Sus scrofa: one gene and its partner. The protein of the gene in region 1 purifies or fractionates together with the protein of each later gene. This does not show direct contact. Links are inferred from orthologs where the notes say so. Each region holds a gene or a part of one and is shown on either strand. Other genes may lie near its edges.

The links.
Region 2: the proteins of MED21 (region 1) and POLR2M purify together in Homo sapiens (affinity purification with mass spectrometry; 3 studies listed by BioGRID and IntAct, with this or other methods). This does not show direct contact. The link is inferred for Sus scrofa from reciprocal best matches to the Homo sapiens genes MED21 and POLR2M.

The regions. Positions count from the first base shown.
Region 1 is NC_010447.5:46,729,892-46,733,514, reverse strand, and holds the end of MED21 (mediator of RNA polymerase II transcription subunit 21), read left to right. Parts: intron 1-960; coding exon 961-1,075; intron 1,076-1,626; coding exon 1,627-1,727; intron 1,728-2,631; coding exon 2,632-2,808; 3' UTR 2,809-3,106; downstream 3,107-3,623. UniProt on the Homo sapiens protein: Component of the Mediator complex, a coactivator involved in the regulated transcription of nearly all RNA polymerase II-dependent genes.
Region 2 is NC_010443.5:114,260,246-114,263,895, forward strand, and holds part of POLR2M (protein GRINL1A), read right to left. Parts: intron 915-3,650; coding exon 710-914; intron 1-709.

The DNA.
Region 1 (3,623 bases):
AAAACTAAAGCAGACTTAGTCATTAAAGGCAGGTTACAAGCAGAGTGTTTTCTAACAAGTTGTTCCCTTGAGTTGTAAGACACACTCAAGTATTTTTGTTAAGACGCCAGCTTTTGTTAACCCTATGAAATACGGTTTCAGTAAGGGTTTGTTATTCTTGACCTTTAGAACTTTTAGAGCACTAGAAGTTTATAGCTTGAGTCCTGGAGAAAAAAATTTTGTTTTGTTGTTTTGGTCTTTTTTATTTAGGGCTGTACCAGCAGCATACAGAAGTTCCCGGGCTAGGGGTCAAATTGGAGCTGTAGCTGCCGGCTTATACCATAGCACAGCCACAGCCACTCTAGGTCTGAGTTGCATCTGCCGCCTGCACCACAGCTCGTGGCAACACTGGATCCTTAACCCACTGAGTGAGGTCAGGGGTTGAACCTGCATACTCATGGATACTAGTCAGGTTCATTACTGCTGAGCCACAATAAGAACTCCCAAGAAAAACATTTTGGAATACTTAAGGTGTGGTCTTTCTCCCACCATTTCTTTATAGTTGTAATTACTCTGGTTTCAGAAAAGGAATCATATGCCTTGGAGTCAAATTTTAAAATTTACCCTGGGGTAAATTTTAGATATTTGCCTGTCAGATTTGCTTTTTTCTACCACTGTTGCGCTAAAAGTCTTAACTTGTGCTTGCAATCAGTATTGGCATATATTTCTGTTATCATTCTGTTATCTCGGGAAGAAAAATAATTATTTTGTGTTTCTCTTTAACTGTTGCAACTAAATAAATGCCAAAGGAAGTTTCTTTGCATGATTAAAATATTTCGTTGTTAGTAACTGGCTTAATCCAGGATTTATCATATTTTATTCTCTTGCTCAGTGATCATTATAGAAACATCATCAATGCCAATAAAATCCTGAAAGCTGATAAATCCTTTCTAATTTTGCCACATTTCTTTTGGCCTGTAGCTTGCAGATCAGTTTTGTAATGCCATTGGAGTGTTGCAGCAGTGTGGTCCTCCTGCCTCTTTCAGTAATATTCAGACAACCATTAACAAAGATCAGCCAGCTAATCCTACAGAAGGTAAATAGATTTTTTTTTTTTTTTGGCTTCTTTTAATTTGACTCTCCCTCATTGCCTTTAATCCCATAAAATTAGATTTATTGAAAAATTCATCTTATTCACGGCTTTCTAAAAATGTTATTGTTAGAGAATGTTACTACAAGTTTGTCATAAAAGAAATAAATTTTTGTTAGTTTATATAACACCTCGTAGTTCTTTTTATGTTAAATAATGGATTTTTTACTCCTTTAGAGGAGAATTATATGAATTTAGCTGAATTTTACTTCAGGGACCTTAATAAGAAAGGCATCTCATAAATTCCTTTATTCAAATGATCATCAAATTGTCCTGATACATAATGTACATTATGCTTGATTCCTAACTTGAGTTAATGTTAAAGCTGATTCTCAAACATGTAATAGGATTAATGTGTTAAAATTACACCTTAATCATTAGAAGCCTAGGACAGAAAAAGTTAAGAAGTTTTTTTGTTTCATTAACTTAAAATTTGATTGCTGTTTCTATAAACTTGAGGTTCTCAAATACCCTAAATGAGTACAATCTTTCTCTAGAATATGCCCAGCTATTTGCAGCGCTGATTGCACGAACGGCAAAAGACATTGATGTTTTGATAGATTCCTTACCCAGTGAAGAATCTACAGCTGCTTTACAGGTAAAAATCTCTTTTTCTGGAGTTCCCCGTTGTGGCTCAGAAGTAGTGAACCTAACTAGTATCCATGAGGATTCGGGTTCAGTCCTTAGCCTAACTCAGTGGGTTAAGGATCTGGCATTGTGGTGAGCTGTGTGTTGGTCGCAGATTCGGCTTGGATCCTGTGTTGCTGTGGCTGTGGTGTAGGCTGGAAGCTGCAGCTCTGATTTGACTACTAGCCTGGGAGCTTCCATATGGTTCAGATGCATTTGAATTAAAGGAGATAGCTTTAGTACCCTTTTTCCTTTTTTAAAGAAATTTTTTTTTTTTTTTAATTTTTGGCTGTGCCTATGCCATGTAAAAGTTCCCAGGCCAGGGATTAAACCTGTTCCACAGCAGTGACCTGGCCTGCTACAGTGAGATCTGTATCCCACTGTGCCACAAGAGAACCCCTTTAATTCCTTTTATTATAATATTAAAAGGTACTCTCAATTTTAAAATGGGAATTTTATTGGAAACTACTGTAGTCTATTAAAGACTGCACTGAATATGTATAGTTGTCCAATTTTGAGTTATGAGGAAACTTCCCATTTTCCTCAGTTTGATTCTTTTCCTTGGAAAGAGTGAGAGGAAGGTAGCATTCCGGACGTGGAATAGAGCATAGTGTCTAAAAGCAGTGTGGAAAGGAGTCTCCTATAGCAATCTAGAGAGCTCTCATTGAAAAGTCATCTTTTAAATAGTTCATACAGGGAAAATTCTCAAGTTATATCTGATCTGAGGATTTATGCCACTGAAAAATCTATCACAGTGGTTGCACAGTCATCCAGATTTAGAAGTAGGTACTTCCACTGCAGTTTATTTCCTTAGAAGGAAATAATCTCCAAGTTTTTCATTTGTCAAAAGATTCTTAAATTTATGTCTTATAAAGGCTGCCAGCTTGTATAAGCTAGAAGAAGAAAATCATGAAGCTGCTACATGTCTGGAGGATGTTGTTTATCGAGGGGATATGCTTCTGGAAAAGATACAGAGTGCCCTTGCTGATATTGCGCAGTCACAGCTGAAGACAAGAAGTGGTACCCACAGCCAGTCTCTTCCAGACTCATAGCACCAGTGTACATATCATGTGGCCAAGAAGAGAACTATTTCAGTGCCGTTAAGAATTCTACATCAGATTTAGATGTAAGCCTTATCGATAGTTAGAGAAACATTAAGCACTATGACACGTTATCTTTTTAGCTATTTTTAATAGTCTTCTATTTTCATTTTTAATAAATAAGCTTGTAAAATTGTGATTGAACCAGCTTTAAACTGTCATTATGCTATTATTTTGTATTTTGAGTGAAATTATTGAGGCAGATATTGCACTTACAGTCAGAATATAATTAAACAGATGTACTATAGAATTCTATTGTGACATAATTTGTCTTTATTTTTGTCCTGTTTCTACAGCCTGTACAAGTGAAAACATCCCCCAAGCTAGAGAAGAAGATGGTAAATGCAGAAATGGTGGATATTTGAATTTAGGTTGATATCCTTCTGCCTCTTTAAAAGTGACATTGTAGAGTTCTGGTGCAGTGGATCGGGGATCTAGTGTTGTCACTGCAGTGGCTTGTGTCACTGCTGTGGCAAGGGTTCAGTCCCTGGCCCTGGAACTTCTGCATGCCACGGGCACAGCCAAAAAGAAAAAAATAAAATAAAGGTGACATTGTATAAATTTGGAGCTGGAGCAAGGAATGGTTCTGAAAACCACATTGCTTTTTAAGAAGCAGAGAGTGTGGCCAGATGAAAGATTAAGTCACTTTTGTGGAAGCTTTTTCTTCTTTTTCTTTCTTTCTTTTTTTTTTTTTTTTTTTTTGGTCTTTTTGCCATTTCTTGGGCTGCTCCTGCGGCATATGGAGGTTCCCAGGCTAGGGGTCTAAT
Region 2 (3,650 bases), on another chromosome or scaffold:
TAAAGGCTCAAATTATCACTAAGTATATTGGCTGCTTTCTTTTCTCCCTGTGCTCCTCACACTTACTTTCTCCCATCCCATTATTTTGTACACAAACTCTCAACATACATATTTAAAGTTCTATGCAGAACACACAGATCTTTGAACAAAGTGCTATTCAAAATGAAGTGACCAAAAGAAGATTCTTCTCTTGTCACAAGGGCCCACAGATGGGCTTTTTAAGTGCAGTGTCCACTTGTGTGTTGGCAATACACACTATTTCCCCAGCTATCTTATGCTCTCCCTGTACTGCAGGAGACAGAAGCCTGGCAATCACACTTCCCTGATTCTCTCAGTGGGGTTCTGGGCTAAACTGCACCACTGACAGGTTCTTGCTGGAGTTTTTCAAGGTGGAAGATCTAGAAGCCATGCTACTGCTACCTGAGGGTCTGGGCTTTCAGAGATGTGATATTTTGCAGCAGTCTTCCCACGCTTCCTGGCAAATAGCACTTTGATGGTGCAGGTAGCTGTGATCATCTCCAGCTATTCTCTGCAGTTCCAGCAACCTCAAGGCTGCAAGCTGGAGTGCACATCTGGCAACTAATGGCATAAGCTGACCAAGGCTAGCACCTGACCCTTCTACTAAATCCCATTTTCCTTGAACCACCTGGAGTAAACTCTGACTTATGGAAGCAGCATCCAACATGCAAATAAATAATACTCTAAATACCTCATAACTCTGTTTCTGCTGTTTCTGAAGTGCCAACGACTCTTCTATGGAGAGCAGCTGTGTGGGCATGTGGTGTAGTGGCAGAAGCCGAGCTGCCGTGATGTCATCCAGATGCTTCCTATCCAGGCGCCGCCTCTCTTCTGAGGATATAGGGGACCCTCTCCCCTGACAATGACTTACTGAATCATGCTGTTGTGAAGGTAATCTGAAGGAGGGGACACTTAGGTTAAACCACCAGACTATTTTCTTTTTATAGATACACACTCACATGCACAAAGTGGTCTTTCACCTTAGCAGTGAATTTTTCTACAAAGGTAATAGTAAGCATTTACCACTATTTACCTGTACAGATAACTTTCCTTTGACATATTTACCTCAAAAGAGAGAAATATTTAAATTGGCATCTTTGGGGAGAGTAATTTGCTAATTCACTGCTCTAACAGGTAACAGGTATAGATAGATAGACTCTTTGCCTTTCCTGTCTTTCTTCAAAGCTTATAACTGAATACTGTTCATTTTTTCATTCAGTAACATGTACAAAGGCACTTACTGTCCAGGAGGGAAAGACACTTGTAAACAGTTCCAGTGCAGTGTAATATCACAGGTACCAGGACAGAGGCCTGCACATAGTGCACCAGTAAAAAAAGAAGGAAATGGCCAGTTGTAATAGGAGACAGGGAGGCTGCCAGAAGACCTTCTAAAGAGTGCGATTTGAGGGGTGCGAATAGTAAGTACTCAGCATGTAAACAAAGGGAAGGGCGTCCCAGCAGGAAGTGAGTGAAGAGGCTACAGCACAGGAAGCACACGAGGTGGAGAGGAAGAAAAGTGGCCAGATTCGGCCAGGGCCAGCCCACAATGCACACTTCTAGTCTGTGTAACACATTCAGGCTGACCTTCTACAAACTGCATTTGGGCAGGAGTGGAGAGGACGGACTGGTAGAGTTAGACAAGATCAAGACAGACACCAGCTATGGCCTGAGAGAGGGATGAGAACCTTCACTTTGACAGGAGAGAGAATGGACATAAGAATGATTAGAGATGGAGTTCCCATCATGGCTCAGTGGTTAACGAAACTGACTAGTATCCATGAGCACTCAGGTTTGATCCCTGGCATTGCTCAGTGGGTTAAGGATCTGGCATTGCCATGAGCTGTGGTGTAGGTCACAGACATGGCTCGGATCTGGCATTGCTGTGGCTCTGGCATAGGCTGGCAGTTACAGTTCCGATTGAAGCCCTAGCCTGGGAACCTCCTGCCAAGGATGCAGCCCTAAAAAGACAAAAGACAAAAAAAAAAAAAAAAAAAAAACCATTAGAGATGAAGGTCAAGGAAATATACAGTGAGGTCCTCATGGACAGCAGATGAGGAAAGGAGGGAAAGAAAGAAGTGGTGGCACTACTGACGGAGGGGCTATGGGAAAAAGCATTACGGGAAGAAATGAGTTCTCCTTCATAGGTGATAAACCTAAGGTGCCACAAAACAACCCCAACAGGGTCAGGTTTCACAGGTAACTGGCTATGCAAATCTGACCTGGGCTAGCAGCAGATGAGGGGCAGCCTCTAGCATCCAGAAGAACATGTAGAAGGCCAAAGGAAGAGCAGGAAAGGAGCCAAAGGACACCCTCATCTCACCTTCCAACCTCCATCTGAGCTGACTCATCAAGGCCCAGCCTTTTCTGATAACTGCACCTCTGTCTGTCTCCCTTGTAAATATCACCTGAGAGCCCTCAGTGATATTCTCTTACCCTCCTCCACTTCCAGCTAAATGACCATAATACAGAACCAGGACCAGTGTATTCTCTGTTGTATGTATTGACTAGATGATGCTTCTCATTTTATGTCTCCCTAAAAGTGAGGAAACATACTTTACCACACACAAGATGAGCAATTATTTAATCAAAGTTTACTTTAAAAAAAAAAAAAAGTAATCCTTTAGAAGATTAAACTTTAAAGTCTCTATAACAATTAAAATTGGTTTTAGGTATTTTTACCTATAGGGTTTCAGTTTTAAAAGGAAAGGCAGTAGTGACTGGACTGTGTATCTGTGTTACATTCTTATACATCTACTCCTTGACTTGATATTGTTGCTGCTCTAATTTGCATGCTGTTTGCATATAAGTAAACAATATGCCTTTCTCTTCAAAGAGCTTTTGTTTTTCCGGAGATCTCAGAAACCAAACTCTGACAAGGAACTTAGGAGCTTCCATTGCAGCTCAGCGGATTGAGAACCCAACTAGTATCCATGAGGACTCAGGTTCGATCCCTGGCCTCACTCAGTGGGTTAAGGAACTGGCGTTGCCGTGAGCTGCAGTGTAGGTTGCAAACTTGGCTTAGATCTGACGTGGCTGTTGCTGGTAGCTGCAGCTCAGATTTGACCCCTAGCCTGAGGAACTTTCATATGCTGCAGGTGCAGCCCTAAAAAAAAAAAAAAAAAAAAGACAAGGAATTTAGAAGCAGGGTTAATTTGCCCCTCCTGCCCAAATCTATTTCCAGTTTTTTTAATCCCTTCTCAGCTCCTTTCCCCTTAGAATTATACAGTTTAATGTTCTTCTAAGTGTGAAAGCCTAGCATCCTTATCTAGATGCTAAATGAGGAGCAGAATCTTTACTCTTATGCAGCCACAGCACCCGCAGCTTACATGCAATGAGCACACGAATAGTTTTTACTGAGAAGGCCCATCAGCTCCTGCAGTTGTTCTCCCCTTAGCTTATAGTCTAATCAAAAGGGAAGCTATATGCCAGAAAATGGTTTGGAAAAAATCATAATGAATTCTCTAATTCTGTGTTTAATGTGAAATATTCCCTAAGGATCCTGAAATTTAATACTCCATCTGCTTTTGAAAACCTTTCAATTATTTGGCTAAAAAACCTAAAGCATTTTCAACATGAATCCTCCACTTCAGCCAGGCTAGTTTCACTATTTCCACAATAAGCTCATTCTTAAG